Linked DNA regions of Drosophila melanogaster. The protein of the gene in region 2 interacts with the protein of the main gene of each other region in a pairwise test. Each region holds a gene or a part of one and is shown on either strand. Other genes may lie near its edges.

The links.
Region 1: the proteins of ldd (region 2) and Cse1 interact in a two-hybrid assay, tested with the Drosophila melanogaster proteins (one large-scale study listed by BioGRID).

What each region holds. Positions count from the first base shown.
Region 1 is NT_033779.5:16,820,627-16,827,254, forward strand, and holds Cse1 (chromosome segregation 1), read right to left. Parts: upstream 4,582-6,628; 5' UTR 4,441-4,581; coding exon 4,356-4,440; intron 3,874-4,355; coding exon 3,014-3,873; intron 2,943-3,013; coding exon 2,459-2,942; intron 2,391-2,458; coding exon 2,088-2,390; intron 2,023-2,087; coding exon 1,866-2,022; intron 1,810-1,865; coding exon 1,509-1,809; intron 1,436-1,508; coding exon 698-1,435; 3' UTR 530-697; downstream 1-529. Other genes in the region: CG13280 (uncharacterized protein), read right to left, coding at 317-380; mdy (midway), read left to right, coding at 1-33, 92-183, 252-304, 4,784-4,892, 4,953-5,096, 5,153-5,463, 5,524-5,796, 5,857-6,090. UniProt on the Drosophila melanogaster protein: Export receptor for importin alpha. Mediates importin-alpha re-export from the nucleus to the cytoplasm after import substrates have been released into the nucleoplasm.
Region 2 is NC_004354.4:21,121,816-21,126,724, reverse strand, and holds the start of ldd (lipid droplet defective), read right to left. Parts: upstream 3,092-4,909; 5' UTR 2,606-3,091; intron 1-2,605.

The DNA.
Region 1 (6,628 bases), on a different chromosome or scaffold from region 2:
AGGTCTGCGTTTGGGCTTGGAGAATCTCCTAAAGTAACTACGATGATCTTGAGTAGAAATACAAGTTTTAGCTAATTCATTATTTTTTTAGGTATGGCATTCGCATCAATCCACTGGATTGGTTCTTCTTCATAAGCGGACACAACGAAGGCGAAGGACATAACGCCCTAATCCTGAGCATTTGTAAGCACGCACAAAATCAAGGATTACGCAAACGAAATTGATAACCTTCGTCTCACCATATTTTACAGACTCTTTAGTGCATATCTCGCTCTGTTTGGCTGTGGAGAAGGGTCTAGCCATGGTAAGTACTTACTTTGATAGCATCTCACGCCTATTTTCTTCGATCGTGACTTGAAATACGTTATTAGCTTGAACATGGCTTATATGATAAATTTCGAAATATCTAGTTAATTCTAAATTCACAATTTTGAAATTGAGTGAAGGGTGTTTGACAAGAAATGATTTGTTTATCAGAGAGAAAAGTATGAAATATTCAGAAGTTATCGCAGTTGAAACACACTAGTTTCGGAAAACATAATTTTTAATTGTTTACAAAACTTACATATATTAGATACAATTTTTAAATGACAATAAACTGGGCATGCAATGAGTGATCGAGTGCGTGTATGCATAAATTTTCGAATGTATGGCGAGGTTTGATTGCGATGAATGAGCTTAAAGTCGGTCGATTCCTTTAGGCAATGCGTACTCCAGCCTGATCACAATATTTCTGGAGTACTTGCTTGTACTCCGGCTCCAGGGGCGACAACAAAGTGGAAAATTCTCCTGCCCTAGCCTGGGCAAACTTAGAGAGCGAAGTTGCTAGAAACTGGCGAGCATCCTTAATCTCAGCCAGGTGATCCTGCTGGTTGGGCTGGGCATGAGTCAGTTGGGCAAATGCCACTTGATAGCCCGCATCGGGATCTTCGGCAACTCCAGCTGTCTCTCCTATTTCGAGACCCATCAATTTCTCTGGTGGTCGTTCAAAAAGATCGATTAGAGAATGCAGCAGTCGTGGCCAGAAAGTAGCGTACTGTTGCTGCAATATCTCAGGAGTTTCTGTAAGTAGCTTAGTGACACCCACGGCCACCATTTTGCGATCCTGTTCCTTGGGAATCTTGCCCATTTCGGTGATAAACACGCGGTCCAGCAGCATGCCAAATAGGTTAGGCTGAATCTCATCTATCAATTGAGCCATCTGACTGCCACTGAACTTAATCACATAAAAGCTAAAGAAGATAATGATGCCGCTTAAATACTTCGGAGTCTTTGAGAGAGACAATCGCTGGAAGAGCAGGCCAAAGATCTGACGAAGATTAGTTTGAATCTCAGCGGGAGGGTAGTAGGAAAGCAGATTCTGGAGAAGATAAAACCCTTCATGGTCATTAGCCTTGGAGGCAATCATCTTTTGGAATATTCCGAGGATACCGCTCTGAAATATATGTTGAAAAATGCATAAGATTGGACTCTGTAAAATAAAATTTGTGATGTATAATATAACTTACCAGTTTACCCAAGGCTTGAATCTGAGCAGATCCCTGCTTGATGAAAGCAGAAATCAGGCGAATTAATGGTGTGACATTGCCCGTCCTGTCCCACAGAGCTGGTGACAACAAGCAGGGGAACAAAGCCCAATAGGGTTCCGGTATGGTACCAGTGCCCTCGCGCATTTCCAACAGCACAGAAAGCATCTGGAAGACGTAGGGCATAAATTCGACAATGTCCTGCTGTAAGATGCCCTGGAAAACTGGGAACAATGCCTCCTCAAAGGAGCTCACAGCCGAGGAATCGGCGTGACAAACAATTCTAGGGAAAAAGAAAATTTGTTATTGCTCTTTACCACCAAAATGCATAACACTTACTTTATACACAGAGCCAGCGTTTCAAAAAGATAGTGGTTGAACTGCGGACGCGATGGATTCTTGGCCACTTGGGTGAGAATCTCGGTAAGCCGTGGAAGGGCGACGCCCATAAAGGGCATGGCGGCCGATTGCAAGACCGAAAAACTTCGCATAATGGCTAATAATAATAATTAGAGTTTTGTTAACATATTAGAAACGTATGAGATAGTCCCCCAAACTCACCTTTCATTACGTACTCATTTTCACCGGAACCTGGGAGTGAAAGGGTCGCAAATAACCCACTAATTAGTTCAGTTGTGTAAGGTGCTAAAATCTGAGGACCAAAAACGATCGCGTTGCTAGCATCCCGCATAGAAAGGATCTTCTCCACTGAACAAGCAGCATAGCTATGAACAACAGAGCTTTCGGCGGGGAGATGTCGAATTAGCTGGGGCAGGCAGCTTGCTAAGACTTGGGGACCCAAAATGCTGCGGAACACCATTACATACTTAATTGCAGCAGCCTTAAGAACAGGAAACTCGTTAACTGCAAAGAGCATTGGAAGAATGCAGATATAAGATGATCGAATTGGGAAAATGGTTATTTGGGCTTACTGTTGGGTCTTTCCAGTTCTGGAATAATTTGCTGGGCACAAAATTCGGGAAGTGGAACCAACTCCGAGGTCTGTGTGATGCCATGCTTTTGAGTTCCTCCTCGAGATGCCCACGAAGTAACCAAATAAATTGCCGTATCCTTTGACCTCCAATTGGTAGCCGGATTCTCCTTGTACTTGGTCAACAATCTCTCTAGATACTGGCCAAAAATGCCAAAGATCTTTTGTTCAAAGTTGATTGATAGAGTCTTCACCAGATCACATGCCGCCCGACGTCGTGTGTCAATGTCAGAGCCTTCAATATCCCTTCGAATGTACTCCTCCGGACTGTCCTCGAAAATTTCTTCATCTGAGGGCCGGATGTCTAGATTGGGAATGACAACTTTATCGCAGATCTGAGCAAGAATCTCTGGGTTCTCGAAAATGCTCTGATAATGCTGGCGGTCAGCCACCACAGAGAGGAACTGCAGAGCATGGGAGACCAACTGTGCGCAAAATAAGAATGGAAAAATTATAAAAATAATTATTAAGAAAGCGTATGGTTTCTGTTACTTACCGAATCGTACTTGGTGTGCAAACTTGTCTTGACCAGTAACTCCCAAACTGCAGTCACAAATTGCTCCATAAATGGCTTGAACTCCTCGTCGTACTTTTTTGCATAAAGGCAAATGTTCTCGCAGACTTGAGCACGCAGATGCTCTAGAACACCCGCATCCTCATCATCTGCAGTACGCAGGGATGGCACATCCGCAGCTAGTTGCTGAATAAACGCTCCCATCCACGTATTGATATTGTCCTCAAAGAACTCCGGCAAATCTTGGGAGTTGAGCGAGAAAAACACCTTGTTCACAAGGACCAATGAACCGTAGATGACCTTCAGGGCGCCGGCATTGTTCTCGTGCACCTTAGTCAACTGCATTGTGGCCTGGAGCAGGTCTGTCAGAGGTTTAGCCATACGATCCAGTACAAATTTGATCTCCTCCCACAAAGCCTGCGACTTGAACTCATAACGATAGCGCTTGAAAAGCGAGTGTGCGGTTTGCAAAACGCCGTTGATGACATTGAAATCACCAGAGGCAAATCTCTCCACCATCTCGTCGATAAGCTGCGGCCATTTTTTGGGAAAATCATATTTGCCTATGATGCTGACCGCGTCGCTTAGTTGTTTTTGCAATGCCACCGGTGAGTGGAGCATTAGCGTAACGATCAAGGTCTTAATTGTATTCCTGTCACTTTCGTGGATGCGATCCGGTCCGTCGCTGTCAAGGTGGGCTGCCCAATTCCGCTTAATATAGTTCTTAAAGGCAATGGCTCCCGCCACCCGCGTAGTCATGTCCATTTGGGCTTTGTCTATCAGATTGAGCAGTAGGATCGGGTAATTCTGCTGTAGTTCCGTGGACTCCAAAAGTTTTTCGGCTATAAAAGTAGAGAAGGAAATGGTGTGTTTGTTAGAACTATTGTACTTATGTAAATCGGATGTTGCAAATACAAATATATAAGGAACCGATAGGAGCTTACAGTGTTTCTCGTTAGACTAAACATATTTTCAATTCAAGCAATAAGTTTTTTATACAATATTTTCAAAAGCTTGGTTATGGTGGTGCGGAGTCTATAGGCTTGGTATGCCTTAAATAATCCTAAAACTAGGTCTATGGTTTTGAAAGGTGGCTTGGCAACAGTCATATCAAGATCAGCTAATCTCGATTCAATTAATAGAAAGCGTGACTGTATAAATTCTTTGACATAGGGAAAACTTGTAGACAACTTCAAATGGATTTAAAAACCGTATTTTTCTTTGGCGTCGCCAAAAACCATTTCCCGCGCACATACACATCAGCACCCCTGCACGCATGTGCAGTTGTGTGTGTGCACATGCATTCCTACACACACACACTCACCCGGCCGGCGGACATTGGGATCGGCGCTCAGCGTCTGCTGCAAATAACCGGCCAGCAGCTGTAAATTTGCCTCTGTCACTTCCATTTTGAGTATATTTTCTTTTCGATGGTCCTATTTGCTTTAATTTATATCACTCGTGGCTTGTTCCTCCACACTCTTGCAACATGAAATGAAATCGCAATTCGTTTTCGCACACAATGCTCGCCGATCTGGGGATGGAACTCAGGGCGAGTTTTCGATATCGATTGTTTATAGTTACTGTTACTAGGATTCGATGGTTTTAGATTTTAAATGTTCATATCAGAAATATCGCATATTGAACTTTACTAATTTAGTATCATTTGATATGATATCAATTCCTGTTTTTTTTTTTCAAAAACCAACTGAATGAATTAAAAATTAAAACAAATTTGTAATTCTTTTCCAGGAAATAATTGCAGAGGGCTTGGGCTTGTTCATCCAGATAGTGAACATTGTTGTCTTGGTTTGCCTACCGGTGGTAACAATTCACCTAAAAGGACATGCTTTTAGTTTGAGTGAGAAATTAACTTAGTTTAGGTGTATTTTAAAATATTTAATTATCTGTTAATCTTTAGTGGGCGCTTCAACAGTTTGCTTCTTTTACTCTGTGTTGTTCCTAAAACTATGGTCCTATGTGCAGACGAATATGTGGTGCCGTCAGACTTATTATCAAAAGAATCCGCGGGAGCGTCGACCAAGCATAACTTTGGCGGAACTAAGTATGTTGAGATCTCTCAACGGAATGTCATATATTAAAAATTCATCTTTCATCCAGAAAAAGGAGTTTTGAATGGAGGTGAAGAAGACGAGGACGTTTCCAAGCTGGTGCAATATCCTGATAATCTCACATACAAGGATCTCCTGTACTTCCTTTGCGCGCCCACTCTCTGCTATGAGTTGAATTTCCCGCGAACTTCTCGCGTGCGCAAACGCTTTTTGCTGAAGCGTTTATTGGAGGTGGTGATTGGAGTGAATGTGGTTATGGCCTTGTTTCAACAATGGATCATTCCATCGGTTCGGAACTCCCTGATTCCGTTCTCCAATATGGACGTGGCCTTAGCCACTGAGCGACTTCTTAAACTTGCGGTTGGTAGAGTGAAAATTATAAAACGTTTGAGTATTATTTAATAATTTTTCTTTAATTAGCTACCCAATCATCTTTGCTGGCTCTGCTTTTTCTATCTAATGTTCCACTCTTTTCTTAATGCGGTCGGCGAACTGCTGAATTTTGCAGATCGCAATTTTTATTGTGATTGGTGGAATGCGAATAACATTGACACCTTCTGGCGTACATGGAACATGCCAGTTCATAGGTGGTGCGTGCGTCATCTCTACATCCCTGTGGTCCAAATGGGATATTCCTCAAGACAGGCCTCTACTATTGTCTTTCTTTTCAGTGCCGTCTTCCATGAATATTTGGTATGAGGGTTGATATTTAGAATTTCAAATTTTGTACAATAATATAATTTATATTTTCAGGTTTCAGTTCCTTTGCAAATATACAAGATCTGGGCATTTATGGGCATGATGGGTCAGATTCCCCTATCGGCCATATCCAAATCCATTGAAAAGAAACTGGGTCCCCGAATGGGCAATATAATCGTGTGGGCTTCCATTATTCTTGGTCAGCCTCTGTGCATAATGGCCTATTATCACGATTATGTCGTCCAGCATTTCAAAAACTCGCTCAACGGCACCGACTACAGTAGTTAGGTTTCAAAAAAGGTTAACATTTAAAAATGGAGCAACACTGAAATATCTGCATCGGTCGGGTCCGTGTACTTTTCGTAATTTATAAGCCAGAATGCAAGTTAAGAAGGAAACTTGTGATTGCCAATTTACAAAGCATATTTTGTATGACTTTTGCACATGCATGTAGTACTGATTAACACAAATAGATTGTTATTGAATGCATTTGTTAATGAATTTAAGTGTCATGTAAATAAATCAAATTTTAAACTAAATAAAATGTTTTTAATTTTTAAATTATATGAAACGAAAAAAATGTAATTATTAAGCTCTTTGTTCGATAGTTCCTTCCCTAGAATACACGATCTATCGATTGTTTATGCGGCATATGGTCACACTTCATCGCTGCCCAAGCCAAAACAGACAATTTTTTTTCCTATATTTCAAGTAACATTTGTCGATCATATGTGAGCTTAATATAAGTAATATTTTCGTGTCAGTTGGCTCTACAAACTCGGCGTAACTGTGGCCCCACACTCGATCCGGCTATTGCGGTAAGATC
Region 2 (4,909 bases):
GAATCAATCAACTATTCGATTGTATAAAACCACAATGGGTTTTTAACTTTAACTTTTGACTATGGTGATTTATAAGAGATTCTATATATTGTTAAATTCTAATTAAGCGTGCAGTGTAAGACTGGATGTACTTTTAACTTCCGCTTGGGAATACGAATGTCTTACTGTTACAAAATATAAGTTAACCGTATTTCCGATTTAATAGCTTAACTTTGTATTAGAAACCGCATTAGTTGCTCTCCGACTTACAAAAACGCGATCGCCAGCACTGAAGCGTTCAAAAACGCACACGTTTTCCTGTTTATACTTCTGAATATTGATTTTCGATTTTTGAGCCAACTTCAACTTGAATCACATCCAGTCGACCGATCGACCAACCGATCAGCATGAGTCGGCAAGAACCGGAGCAGACTTGGCTATAATTATATGCCCAATCAGATGTAGATTCTGCCGCATGCTCGTATTTTATTTATAAAACCCATTCGGCTGGCCATAGGAAACGCTGCTCACTTTTTATTTATTTATTTATAAGTTGTTGCTTTTTGATTTTTGCTTTTAGCCCGATCAGCAGCCAGCAAGGTCGCTGCTTACATGTGCAAAAACTTGCAATGCAATTAAGTCTTGATAAATAACCAGTCTGATAATAACACTCAGTGCCTCTGGTGGCGGAATGCTAAAAGATTTTATGTTAATGCCGTCGATAATCGCGAGACGCTCAGGAAACGGAAGACGAATCCAGAATGCCAACTAAGCTATGGGCCAACTCACTACTCCTCCTACTATCCTGCTCGAAAATATCCCTAATTTGAATGGCATTTCAAATCTGTTCCTCTTTTCCGCATACCCAGCTAAAACAAGAGAGAATTCTGTAGTCGAATTCCCCCACTATCAGATACCCGTTACTCAGCTCGTAAAGTGAAAGATTGAAAGTGGAATATCGGTAGAAATTGCGGGGAAAAAAGTTAATAGAAATAACATTTTTTAAAAGTGTGGGCGTTGCAGTTTGGAGCGGTATTAAGCGGGCGGTCGAGTGGGCGTGACACTGGAATTCTCAACACTCTAGCTTCAATAGATCCTGAGATCGACAGACAGATCAGGCATATACATACATACATATGTACATATATACCGTATAAGGTCGGAAACGCTTCCTTCTGCCTGTTACATACTTTTCAACGAACCTTATATACCCATTTACTCCACGAGTAATGGGTAGCAAGAGGAATGCTTGGTCAATTATATTTATCACAAATAAATAATGCATTTCTGCTCTCTCTCTTGACAGTAAGAATGCTTCAGACCCTTAACTGTTTACCTCGCAAGTCAAAAATTATATAAGACTACATACATCGGCAAGAGACTTTTCAATAAGAATAAGATTGTACTATACTATACCATATAGAACAAGAGGTATCCTTTGAAAATACCAGAGTTTTTTTGAAATTATCATTCATCACATTTCCAAAGATACTACCAATATATGTATGTACATATGTACATATATCCAAGTGCATCTGAGATGCTTACACACCTGCAGTTAGTTCTTCGCCCCCTCGTGGTTCATATGGCGAATTGTTAAAAATCTCTCACGTTGAAGTTTTGTAACTTTTAAACTTTAGATGCGATAGCCGGAAAAAACCATGACGGATACCCTCCAGGGAAAATGTCCGTACAACACTCCGTGATAATTACTTGGCTATGCACATTACAGATCTCATGGATTAGCAAAGCGCACCGCCTTAAGTTGAAATGGTTGAGATTTTAATAGAGCTCAAATTTGGCTGTTTTTCAATAGGAAAGGTGGAACAAATATAATTCCTAAGCTACCAAAATGAATTGCAACGAGCAATTAATAAATGTTTTTTTAATATAAATGTTTCCAATTGAAATGTTTTGAATTTTTACTGCAAGTGGTGAACTTATTTGCGTAGGATCTACAAACAACTTCTTATAATTTAGGGTATTTACGCCTCCTTTTGTTTGCCTTTTCCTATGCGTTTTCGCTTTCATCGCTTGTTGCTGTTGTTGCTCTCGCCACCTCCTTTTGTGCTGCCAATTTGGCTTTAACTACATACATAAATCTACAGCTTTTGTGGTTGTGTTAAATACTGTTTTTCGAATGGATAATTTGTCCAGCGCTTTTGTTTTGCTCCGCACTTCTTGTTTTGTCCAGCCCTTTTTGAGACGCACTCAAAACAACAGCGCCGAAAAACGTGCAGAGAAACCTCAAAAACCAGAAACGTCAGATACCGACCAGAAACTCGAACCAACACTGAGAGAAGCGACTTGGTCCTTGTCATACTTATTCATCCAAAAAGCTATTGCTCATACATACAAAAAGTTGAATGTACTTAGTTAAATATTTCGACATTGCACTTCCATTTCAATTTACTAATAAACATAATCAATAATAACATAATTATCGATTTTTTCTTTTCAATTTTTAAAATAGTGGTGGGCCATTGTTTTCAGTGCACCGAAATTGAAAGTGACCGCGATTGAAAACAGCTGTTGCTGCTTTGATTTAGCAAGTACCCAAATAAATATAACTACGTACCTATTTAGGAAGCTGGTAAAAACAGCTGAGAAAACTAAAATTACTAACCCCGCTAAACAAGTTGCTGCTGCTGCTGCTGCTGCTGCTGGTTCTTCTTCGTTAGTGTTTCTTTGTTATTATTATTTTTTTTTGATTTTAAGGTTTTTCGGTCACTGCAACTGTTTACTGCACACGTCTTTTTATATGTATATTTTCTTTTCGAGTTTTACTCTTCACTTCGAGTGTTGTCTTTGGGTGTTGCCTCCCGCTCGCACAGTTCGCACAGTTAAAAAATAAGAATGTTTCGGTAGTTTGCTTCAGTTTTCGTTACTACTTGGCCTTTGGTTACAGTGTATAGAGTGCTGCCTGAAACGTCCGCCAACAAAGCTGGCCGCAATTGAACTGAGCTTGACTAAACGCGCTTACGGAAAATTATTTAATTCCGCTGCCAGTTTGCCGCCGATGCCGACGTTGAAGAAAAAAAAAACGATCGTCGACGTCGATCGCCAACTTCCAACTTCGTTGTTGTTGCGTGTGGGCGGCAACAAGTTGCTCCCGGCCATCGCACCGGCAACATGTTGCCAGCTCGGAGCATGGGCGCACACAAGGGACGTGATCTGAGGAACAAAATGTTCCTTTCTTCATTCCATTCTTCCAGTTAAAAGGTGAAATTAAGTGAAACTTTATTTAGTATTTGCTGAACGTAATGTTTGAATTCAAATAATAATTCTAAGATTGAAATAAAGCCAAATGAAGAATATTCTTTAATGGAATGTTTGTATTCGTAGAAAGTCGCTGATTATTGTTCCTATAGATACCTTTTAATTTACCTTGGATTCCTCATATCTTTTGATCTACTTACACCCAACATGCTTCGATTTGTAGGCCATAAGAGTTCGCGTAATGTTTGAATAACAATGGGATTTTTGGTAATACACCCATGCTTCTTCTAACTGTTCTTTTGTTTCCCAGTTGAGTGTGCGTGACACGCAGCAGAAAGCAAAGCTGGTTTTAATTAGCCTGTATTTTCGGGAAGTACTAATTGCAGCCCTGGCCCATCGCACAACTGTACTTATATCCAATGAAATGCCAAAACTATATAGGAAACCCTTCCCGAAACACTGAATCCACGAATTAGTGCCACTTTTGAGACCCAGTCGGCCGTGTAAAGAGGGCTATAACGCTCGTACTTTGTACCTGGATTGCGCTAATGGATCGGAACCCAAGAATGATATAAACACGAGAATGAGTTGACACATCTAACGATCCCCGGATGAAGTTACAGATTCTGTTAAGGTCAAAATAGATATATATAAACCTAACCTTCAAATCTCTTTGAAAAATACATATGAATAGTCAGTTCCCGACTTGTCAAATAAATATTAATTGATTTTGAAGTGAAATCGAATAAGTGTTAGTTTTGCAATTCACCATGAAATAATTTTAATAAATTAATTTTTAATTTAATGTGTATTTGGTTTAAGTGTTTGGTATGTTAAATGTTAATGCAATTAAATTAGATAATCAGGGGTATTACCCATGCTTGTACAAAATGACGGGCAAAACAGGTGTAAATCAAATATAAATATTTTTTAGTAAGTATGTAAGGTAAAGTAAATTGCACTAAGAATTTCTCAAAACAGGAAATTTAATCAATTTGCGACTAACAATGAAGCAAATCCGCCGGAGTCAGTGCGTCTGAACCGGTTTAATCACAGAATGCAAATCGCAGCGATTCCTCCATTGGAAATTGGACACCGGGTGACAAGTGGAAATTCCTGAAAGAGAGTGCATACAACTGTCAAGTGCTTTCGAATTCAAATTCGCCATGTCGCCGTCCAGAAGCCCGTGTCCCCGCTCCACCCCCGGAATTAGGCCAACCAGAACCATTCTCATTCTGAGTCGGTTCTCCATGTCCATGTCCACGGGCCCAGACCACGCTCAAATGTTCAAATGTCCAACAGATTCGCTTGGCTGCGTATCAGTTGCGCGTAATGTCCAAAGTCATTATGGCAAAAATCGCAAAAAGACTAAACGTTAAAAATGCTGAAATTAAAACTATATATACGAATTATGAAATTGTTTATCGGAATAAAGCGAAGCGAGCAACTAAAACGGCCAACTAGCGATGACAATATAGAAACTGGGAACTAAAGTGGCAAAAAGTTAAGCTAAAGTAATTATAATTTAAAAACAAGCTCGAGACAAAAGAGCACACGTCAGTAATCCATAGTGTAATTCTCTAGATACAATTACAAGATTAGAAACGTATTTATGAAACATTTAAATACTTCAGATAGGCATTGTTTTGGAGTTTAAATTTTTTATAAGCTTAAATCATTTCGGGTTCAGTGGATTTGGGTTCACTCAGGT